Linked DNA regions of Drosophila melanogaster. The protein of the gene in region 1 interacts with the protein of each later gene in a pairwise test. Each region holds a gene or a part of one and is shown in the gene's direction. Other genes may lie near its edges.

Evidence for each region.
Region 2: the proteins of Tim9a (region 1) and danr interact in a two-hybrid assay, tested with the Drosophila melanogaster proteins (one large-scale study listed by BioGRID).
Region 3: the proteins of Tim9a (region 1) and CG3528 interact in a two-hybrid assay, tested with the Drosophila melanogaster proteins (one large-scale study listed by BioGRID).

What each region holds. Positions count from the first base shown.
Region 1 is NC_004354.4:13,383,468-13,386,393, forward strand, and holds Tim9a (Tim9a), read left to right. Parts: upstream 1-1,742; 5' UTR 1,743-1,869; coding exon 1,870-1,929; intron 1,930-2,032; coding exon 2,033-2,128; intron 2,129-2,193; coding exon 2,194-2,325; 3' UTR 2,326-2,426; downstream 2,427-2,926. Other genes in the region: Rbp1-like, read right to left, coding at 1-156, 833-1,221; Ype (yippee), read right to left, coding at 2,877-2,926. UniProt on the Drosophila melanogaster protein: Mitochondrial intermembrane chaperone that participates in the import and insertion of multi-pass transmembrane proteins into the mitochondrial inner membrane.
Region 2 is NT_033777.3:25,136,156-25,140,492, forward strand, and holds danr (distal antenna-related), read left to right. Parts: upstream 1-1,916; 5' UTR 1,917-2,077; coding exon 2,078-3,337; 3' UTR 3,338-3,748; downstream 3,749-4,337. UniProt on the Drosophila melanogaster protein: Probable transcription factor with a role in the retinal determination (RD) network. Regulates ato expression and is required for normal R8 induction and differentiation.
Region 3 is NT_033779.5:2,516,560-2,519,915, reverse strand, and holds CG3528 (uncharacterized protein), read left to right. Parts: upstream 1-1,878; 5' UTR 1,879-1,959; coding exon 1,960-2,265; intron 2,266-2,318; coding exon 2,319-2,720; 3' UTR 2,721-2,814; downstream 2,815-3,356.

The sequences.
Region 1 (2,926 bases):
GGAAGAGGAGTAGTAGAAGTTCTAGTAGTAGTAGCTGTTGTTGTTTTTTCTTTTTTCTTTGTTGTTCTTTTAATTATCATTATTATTATTATTATTGATGTTGTTGTTGTAGTAGTTCTTGTTGTGCTTGTTGTAGTAGAAGAAGAAGACTTTATCCTGCAAAATGATTGTGAGACCACATTAAAACTGGCTCCAAGCGATCGATTTACTTTGTTTTTACTAAGTTTTCTTGTATTTTCTTTTCATTTTTCTTGTATTTTGTAATTTTACTAAAAACAACAAACAAAACGTTTTCTCTAGTTAAAGCTATACTCTTTGAACTTTAAACTATGGACCTCGGGGTGCATATAATGAGCAATGAAATGTGATACTAAAACAAGATTCCCCTTAAAAAACAAAATACGAGCTAAAAAGAATCGATTGACGTAGCAAAAGCAACCAGGACTGTCGGCCACGGACGCCACTGTGTGCGCGCGGTAGGACTGTTCTTTTTCACGGACGCCACTGTGTGTGTTTATGTATGGCTAACAGTGGTGTCCCACCGTATGTGTGACTGTGTGTATTTTGGCTGGCACCGCTTTTGTATGTATACGCGAATCGATTTTTCACATGCATACATACACACAAGCACACACGCTATATAAATATGTATACATATGTTTATTTATATATATATTTTTGCATACTTTTTTGCACATAATGGCAAAAATTATGATTTCATAATCTCGAGAGAGGGGTAGTGGTAGTAAGTGGGTGCTTTGGTTGGTTGGTTAGTTAGTTTATCTGGTTTATTCTGGGGATGCAAAATGTAATGCTTTTGTGCCGTACTCACCTATAGCGTCCACCGCCATCGCCAGCCCTTCCACCGCCTCCAGCACGGGCGCCACTGCCACCGCCGCGGCCGCCGCCACCGGATCCGCCTCCACCACCGCCGCCTCCACCGCCACCGCCGCGACCCTCTCGTGAACGGCCTGATGACATTTCGACACGGATGCGGGTGCCACAGCAGCGGGTGCCGTCGAGGCCACGGGTCGCATCCTCAGCGTCGCGACGATCCTCGAACTCGACGAAGGCGAAACCGGGCGGATTGCGGGCCACCCAGACGTTGCGCAAGGGTCCGTATTTGCTAAAGGCGTTCTCGATCTCGTATTTGGAGGCCGAGGATCCCAGATTGCCCACGTAAACTTTGCAGGCTAAATCCCATTCACGGTAGCGTGGCATTATGTATGAATATGTATGTGGCTGGAGGTGCTGCTCCTCCGGTTCTGTAATGGATTTTTGGTATTTGTTGTACCACTGGACTTGTCCAAAGTCAATTTTCCAGTTTGTTTTGATGCTATTCCGAGGGAATTCTCCTTGGTTTTTCAAAGAGCACACCCACAAAGCAGGAGCAGAAAAAAGTGTTTGTGAGGAAAAAAAGATGGCGTGCCCTCCAGTGTTGAAAAGTGAACGAGGTGCAGTACCGTAAAGCGCTGACCATAAGATATGCGACTATCGATATTTTATAGGAATATCGATCTTTGAAATATCATTTTATTCTATTTAATAGTTTAAATTAAATGTTTCACAACCTAAGGGTACTTAGTTAAAGTATTATTATAAATATACCTTAATTTATGTATGGATACATTTGCTTAATTTCATATACCCGATGTTAAGAGTAAAACTAGATGTGGTTAATTTTTGAGTCGGCCGAACCAGATACTTCACATAACATACTTCAAAAGATAACATATCGATAAGTCGAGAACACGGAATGGCTTTTTAACATCTGGCAACCCTGCACACCCAGCTGTCCCTATTATATAGGCACATTATTATTGGCCCTTTTTCGTTTCGGCAATTTTGAATAAAATATCGCAGAACAAAATGGCTAAGACACCGGAAAACATAGCCATCGATCAGTTGGACAAGGATCAAATTAAGACGGTAAGCAGAGTTGACACGAAGATACCATCTCATGCCAAGGACCGGCGGTGCCAAGTGATGCAATGTGGTTTTCATTTGATATGTTTTCGGTTCTAACTTTCAGTTTTCCGACTTCCTAATGTCCTACAACAAACTGTCCGAGACGTGCTTCACAGATTGCATACGCGACTTTACAACGCGGGATGTTAAGGATTCCGAGGTGAGTGCCCGTGGGGAAGCTCCATGTGGAAATCAGCGATTTCAATATGCCCATCCATTTCACAGGAGAAGTGCTCGCTGAACTGCATGGAAAAGTATCTGAAGATGAACCAACGCGTCTCGCAGCGTTTCCAGGAGTTCCAGGTTATTGCCCACGAGAACGCACTGGCCATGGCTCAAAAGACTGGCAAACTTTAGGTGTTATAGCTGTTACAAACAATCTTAACTAGTTTAGACAACTGAGATGATGCATTTTCCTGCATTTGTCAAAATAGCTGAGTAAAGAAACGCGTTGACGGAATCCCGACGATTATTATCTACTATTCGATTATTGTGGTACTTTATTGCTGATTGATTACGGCCTAGAGATCTTGTTTGAAAAAGACAAGTGTGGATCATCAGTTTCGAATATGTTCCAGCTGAGTAGCAGCCCATCTTTTTCGTTTTAGCACTTCAGCCTCATGACATTTAAATGGTAGAATTGGGCGCCGCAGCTGCTTACGTGCTAGATGTGCCTACAATTACGTTTAAGTCACGTTAAGACAGGGCCGTAGTCGCATGTGCTCCGTGGCGGATGTGCAACCGATATATCGGTCTTCGGTATCCCGAACACCGGAGCCGACTACGGCGATCTCTAATCTAGGTCTAATGCATAGAGGCCATCGCCTGTGGCCATCTACTCAATACTTAGGGCTACACAAGGTTCGCCAATGCGTGGTTCCCGTTTTCCGGCTGTATATTCAATCGGCTCAATGACTCGTGGTGGCGGCCTCCGACGGAAAGCCCTCTGCCTCTGTGA
Region 2 (4,337 bases), on another chromosome or scaffold:
TAGTTTAATAAGCCTTCGACTGAAACAAATTATGTATATAATAACAATAAAGTGTATGTACAAAATGTAAGGGCTAACTGCCAACATAGGTTATGTATATATTTAAATTTGTATGTATGTATAAATTGAGACTTAAAATAAATACCGTTTCCTCATACTTATACTGCAAATACTTATAAATCTAATGCAATTTGATTTTTCCATTAAATGTGCACTTATTTTGACTTTATGTATCAGAAAGAGTATCTCAATGCGGTATGTCAACAAATTGTTAATTTTAATCGATAATTACGATTTGAGTACGCTTGCAATCGTTTATTTATTGTGTAGGTTTCATATTTAATTTAAAACAATCCATTCATTTTAAAATACAGTTTTGTGACAAATAAACTTGAATGAAAATTGTTTAATAATAAATAATGATATAGTTATAACATACAGCAAAACGGAAATTAATCAATACAAGTAGATGTAATCTAATAAATTATAGTTAATAGAAAATTTATTTAAATATGTGTAAATCAAACATAAATACTAAAGGCTACTTACTTTCTAAACTGTGTCTTTTAATAACACAATAAAAAAGTATTAAAAAAGGGATGTGTGATATTATTTAAGGAGAATATTGAACGGATTAGCATTTCTAAAATGATTATTTTAAAGTGTACTTAGCCAATTTTCGCAATTTATAATATGATTTGGTATATTTACCAGGCTGAAAGCTTTTAAAGCAGTTCTTCTTCTAGAATGCTGATAGTTTTCTCGAGATTGAAAGCTTTTGTTATTTTTTCTTTAGTGGACGGCGCAGACGCATTAATAGTTTAAACAATAATTAAACGACGAGATTCATTGAGACATTATAATCCATTTTAATAACAATAACAGTGTTTGACAGCATATACATAGTTCTTTGGATTAGGGGTAGAATCAAAGAATTACAATTAGAAAGGTGTTCCAACAAAGGTGTTATGTACATTACGTACGTTTTTAGTATACAGTCGCAATCAAAAAATTAGAAGTGATCCATAAATAATATATTTATATGAATTACATCGTTTTATGAAGGTTAAAACAATTTTGTGTGCGAATAATCATCAGCAAAGAACTATGCAAGTTCTCCATATAAGGTATGTGCTATTCTTTTATATTATTGTACTTCGTGAGCACTTATACATATAAATAAAAATATTTAAAAAAACGCAGTGAATTCAAAACTTGTGTTAATAAGTTTAGCCTGATCACCTTTTAGTCTATATATTTTCTATTATCTTCATAAGATAAGGGTGCAATGAAAATATTTACCACAAATAACGGACAAAGAGTACTCATGGAAATTAGTGCAAACACACAGATGGAGAGTGCAAATAATATAGAGTGGAATTGTGTTATTCTCGGTAGATTCGCAACCCAAAAGTGCAACCAGGTCCACGTCCGTATCAGATCCGCTCACGCACATGCGAATGCGAGAAGGTTGGCCAAATACACGCACACACACTTTCGCAGGAGGGAATGTTTATGGGAGGTAAATAACTGGTTTTTATATAAACACACGGGCACATACACACACACACACGCAGCCACGTGGAGGAGCCGATTTGGAAATGTGCATCCTGCATGCTGAATATCTAGATCCACAACACCACCACACACATACGCAGCCCGCGAAGAGGGACGCGAATGATGGTCAGGACATCAAACCCGTTAAGAGAGCCGAACAGAGCGAATTTCGTGAGCAGGACATGAGTAACAAGTTGTTGCACTGGTGGGTGGTGGGTGCGCGCGCGAGAGAGAGAGAGAGAGAAAGGTGAGAGTGGCGCTTTGCTCCGATTGGTCGAGAAAAAGCGAGAAAAACGTCATGCCGTTCTCTTCGCCGCAAAATCATCGGATCATCTCGGCGGTCGCCGTTCGCCTGTCGCCGTTCGCAGTTCGCAGCTCGCCTTTCGCGGAATCGGATTCACAATCACATCCTTCTGCGAGTTCGAGGAGTGCACACCGGTGGTCGCATCCGCAAAGTCCGCGCTTCGAAACCGCTATCGTAATCGCAATCGCTATCGCCAGCGCAACCAGAAATAGAACCATGGATATCTCCGCCTACCAGCACATGAACATCCGGATGAGCACGCGCGGCAAGCGTCCTCTGAGGAACCTCACGCCCAACGACAAGGTGCGTGCCATCCAGCGCATCCACAATGGTGAAACCAAGGCGAGTGTGTCGCGGGACATCGGAGTGCCGGAGTCCACGCTGCGTGGCTGGTGCAAGAACGAGCAGAAGCTGCGCTTCATGTGCCGCCAGCTGGGCCCCGATCACCTGGGTCTCGACACGCCACCGGAAAAGCGCGCCAAGTTCGAGCTGCAGCTCCAGCTGCCACCGAAGTTCGTGGCACTGCCTCCAAACTACGAGGAGCTGGGCTTCGGTGCACTGCCCTACAGTCCAGCCGATTACCCAGTGCAAAATGAATCCCTGCTGGAGAAGCTTAGCCTTGTGGAATTTGTAAAAAAGAACGGTGGATTGCATCCGGAGGGTGCACTGCATCCGGGTCAGGCCGGCGTGATGGACTACTCCAACAACATGCTGCACCAGCTGAATCTTCTGGCCCTGCTCAACTCCAAACTCACCCCACAGACTGCCGATGTCCTGGTAGATGCACAGCCGAAATCAGAGGACAACAAAGTGATTGATTCGCCCGCTGCTTCCGAGGATTACAGCAAAAACAATTACCCCTTGCTGAGTGTTAAGAACTGGGCCAAGGATCCGGCCAAGCGGGTGAACTCCGCCAATCAGCCGGAGCAAGTGAACGATAAGAACAACAATGCCCTGGAGGCCAACAGTTCCGCACCACAAGCTCTTGTCACGGAGCAGGCGAAGACTCCCATGTTCTCGGACACCACAATGCCCCTACTGCCAGCACCCTTCCCGAATCCTGCGGATCTAGCGCCTGTGATAGCACCAGTGACTCCGGCAAACGCCCCGCCCACTGGAACCGATAACCAGGGAGCGGCTCTGCTCGACTGGTGCAAGCTCTTCAATGCCAGTTTGAACTTCCTGGCCTTCGCTGCGGCCGCAGCCTCCATGCAGCCCGGCGGCGGAGGACCAGGTGGACCCAGCTACAATCCCAACCAAATGGCCAGCGGCGGATCGGAGCCGGATCTCGAAACATATCCTTTCAACGAGGCGCTACTAAAGCGACTGAGTCCACTGGCGCACAGTGAGGCCTCCAACGAAAGCTACTGCGACAGCGAGCCGGAGGATCTGTCCGTGCGCTCCTGCGCCTCCAAGGCGTCCAGCAGATCCCACACTCCCGACAAGAGCGTCGGGTCCAGCGACGCCGAACAGTAGACACCCTACATTATAGCATAGTTGTAGTTGTAGTTCATAGTGTAAATACATCCATTTTTATTGTTATTAGCCACCTTTAGTATTAATGAAACTCGAATCATTTCGCAATGCAAATGCCATTTGTACTTATCAATTAACGTATTAATATCACTGCAACAGGTATTAATAGCTCAGCATACTATAGCTAGTATTAACTAGGAATATCAACTGTGTGACTACTTGTTTGAAAGCCAAATTCAATTCATCTACACGTATTATAACAAATACTAATTGTGTTAAGTAGCTTAATTAGTTGGCACATTTTGTCAGCCATTCCAATCGATTTGTTTTATTACTGTGTAATCTGCGTAACTCTCAAATAAGCATATAAACTAATTACTAATGAAACGAATAAATATTTATTAACAAAACAAAATAAAATTCAAGTGTCAATCTCTCAAGATCAAAACATTTTTTTACTTGATGGGTTTTCAATTACAGCGGTTAGAAAAATGGGTCAATTTTCTACCTATGAAGAAAATGAAAGTCTTACCCGCCAAAAGGCTTATCGAAAAACAGGAATTTTCTATAGAATTAAAGTATTTAATTATAACAAAACTAAATTAATTCATGTGGTTTTTATTTAAAACGTTCGCAAGTTAAATAAAACTTACAGGCATTTGCAAGAAAAACAAATAGTCAACTTTTTACCCATATTTTAAAAATATATTTCATTAAACTAATTTTAAATTCATTATGCAAATTAAACACAAATCGATTGAATCTTTAAGTTGCAAACAAATAAAAACTTGAAAATGCTAATGAATCCTACTTTGAATTTCCATTAGAAGTAAAACTCTTTTACCAAAAAGCGCCTTCATTGGTTTTTTGCCATTTATTTTGTAGGGATAAATATTAAACTTGGCATGCAAATGAATACATGTATGTGCCGAAGCACATTCCATATTCTATATGATGAAAGGGAAGCATCATTATAGGTGCCATAGATGGAGGTCAGCAG
Region 3 (3,356 bases), on another chromosome or scaffold:
ATAGGAATTATAAAAACCCCTTCCTGGTTGACTTGCACATGCAAGCAGTATGCTTTTCTACGCTTTTCGGCAATCATGTCCATTGTCATGCTCGAAATGTATGAATGCTTGAAAAAATATGATTTACATATCTAGAAGTTCTCTGATAACTTCAATCTATGCAACTGCTCAAGTGGATGATTGGCATGCCCTGTGCGATAATGACGGCAACTGCTCAACTATAAATTCCAGCCCTCAGTCCATTCAGCACTTTCTGCAATTGAAATGCAGTTGCAGCCAGCCGACTCATTCATCAGAAATGTGCACTTAACACATGGCAAAAGCAGCCTCGACTTTCCCGAGGCAGCATTGAGCATTGCCGCCTCATTCTTTGGTAATGCACATAAATCCTTAGAGTGCGCACTTAACTCCTTTTTATGCTGCGACAAAGTACATTTACTAATGACCAAGTCAAACAATGGCCACGGCCAAGACGCAGCGGGCGAAATGCGAGTCCTGGCAGTCCTGGCGGTCCTGTAGGTCCTGCCAGTAGACTGGCGGGAAGTGGGTATGTCGTGACTTCAGCGGGGAGCAGGAGGATTGGCCCACGAAGTAGCAATTTACGCGCTCAAGACGGCGGCAAGCGGCAAGATGGTGACAAAGCATGCAAAACGGAACAGCAGTTGTTGCCCCAAAGTGATGGAGAGGGGGGAGGGAAGGGAAATTGTGAGAAGGCTTGGGAAAATGCAGAGGAAAACTATGGAGGGGGATCTGCACGTGGAGGAGCACTGAGCTCCAAGTGTCGGCAGCGGCTGCATGTTAATTGCTGCAGCGACGACAGCAACAACTGCAAACAGTGGGAAAGCGTGTCTAAATAGCGTAAATTCACACAGACACACACCTTCACGCAGGCAAGGGGAAAATCTAGCTGCGTATTGTGTGTGGAAATTGAAAAGCGAGCTGGAAATCTGCCAGGAAGTGCAGGACATCTTACACACCCTATTTGATATATAAATTATGGCTGATTAGCAGCGGCTGTTGGCATTGTTTTAATTGGTTTACCTGGTGATTAATCTCAAATGGCGAAAGGAACTTTGAAAGTGATTTATTTTTAAGGCAGGTTACAGTATCCTGTACAATTTCATAGACTTGGGTACATTTTTTAGTTGACTATAAACTATTCGTTGCAAGTTCATCAACTGGTTACCGTTTATGTGTAAATCTGATCTGATCTGAAAGTCCTTGGGATTCATAGGGCGATGTGCGGAACACTAGGTGTCACTTGTTAGACTGCTAATCCTCGACAGTGTGCGCTCAACGGGATATCAGGCGGAAAAGGACAAAGAGCGCTGCATACGCACAGGCTGAAAATGCAAATTTTCCCTTTGGCTGGCTGGCAGTTTAAAATGTTGATGAAGTAATTAGTTTAATATGCGAAATGCCCCTGATGGGCGGCGGGAGAGGGCGTGGCACATAGGGAAGTGTAATTGAAAATACTCACAGTTCTGGGCTAAAAGGGACAAGGGCACAGTCGGGGCTTGGGCATTGTGAAACTTTTTCCATTTATTAAATTTGCCACACGAACAGCGCAGCGGATTCTGCCAAGGGAACTCTATGTGGGAAATGTTTAATTATTTGTGCGCACATGAAATTAAAGCTGTTACAAATTGTTACAAACCATTCCGGCTATCAGTTTCTCAAACAAATTTCAATTAAGATAAGACTTTTTCACGAGTTTCGAAAATTAGAAGGAATATTTTTTGTGCTCAGCTACTTTCATTCGAAATTGAATATGAGAACAACTCTGCTTCTTCAGGCCCAGCAAAAGTTTTGCCTTTTGAGCCAAAGTTGGCAGTTTGTTGTCAGTAATGTATTTTGCTCGAACTTATTCAAAATATTATACATTTTGATTTACACGAAATCACAGTTTTCTTGCCATTCAGCAGCTTTTCAGTTTTAGTTTTTTGAGTTTCGCGCGGAATGAATCTGATTAACTTTAATCATTACCAGGACTATGTAGACAGCTTCATAACCATCCAGGACACTCGCTATTTGGGCAACAAAGAGATCCAGAGGAACCTGATCCAGAATGCCTGCGGTAAGAATTGCCTGGGTAATCTGCTCACCCGCGAGCAATTCTACCAGCGGAAGGAGAAAGAGTTGGTGCTTCTAAAGCCAAGGGGACTACGAGGACTCCAACTTTTTGGAGACTACTTGAACAACAAAGATGAGGTGCTCCAACAGTTTGCCAATCGAGAGAAGAAGCTGCTCGAAAAGCAAATTTCGGTTAGAAGGTTACATTTATGTGTAGTGAAATGTGTACATTTTGTAATTTTTAGACCGTCGTCTACCTGGTGATGCGTTCGAAGAAGGGTCTAGAGATCTCCAGCTTTCTGGACCTGGAGCAGAGTCTGCGCGAGTCGCGATTCGAGAACTCTACAAGCTGCGTAGACTGGCGGGCCATTTTCGAGGGCAGAACGAAGCTGAGGCCATCGAATCTGCATCTCAGCTACTTCGACTGGCACCAGAATCGTGTGTCCTTCAACAACAGCGACAATTTCCGGGTGTTGAACAAGAGGCCCCACAGTCTGCTGCTAAAGCATGTTGGCGATCACAAAATATTCTGTGTGAACGCCTCCTGCGATTGCGAGCACTCGAAAAATGTCAGCCGCAAAACGTATTTCTCGCCCATTTATGGATATGTCATATTCTTCGACCACATAATCAGGCGCATTAATTAGCGACGGCTTTAAAGTGTCAATGAACGTAATCGTCGTTAAATGAAATGTGCAAATAAATCGAAACGAGGGCGCATTTGTCGCTGACAGCTAACGTAAATTGCTTTTCATATCTTATCAGTACAGTTCTGGTCGCAGTTTTTGATGGACGTTTCGAGGTCCTTCCGCCCGGCGAGTCCTCCGTCCATCAGGCGGCGGAAATTACCCGAGCTTTATGCCACTTTGTTGAGTTTATCGCAGTCAGGGAACATCAATTGCATAAATCTATTAACTGTCGCCCGGCGGAATGGGGGCGTGGTTGAGCCTTCAACTTGACCAATATGTTTCTGTTTGCGCATTTGCCATTGTTTGCCAACTTGCTTGTGTGGGTCAGCTTATGACGCTTTGTTAATTCTCCCAACAGTGTGTCTGTTTAATTGGCCTTTCCACTCATGCAAATCAACTTGGCCAAAATTTACACAAGGCTGAAAGGAGAATTTGCTACGGCTTACACATTGGTGGTTAATGAGTTGAAAATATTAGTAGTCAGTCTTAATAAAAATTATATGAATACAATTAAATCCACTCTGTTGCCCAGATACCATGTTTTTGGAGAAGCAAATTCAAATAAATATTAAATACGCCTAAATTATGATTTAA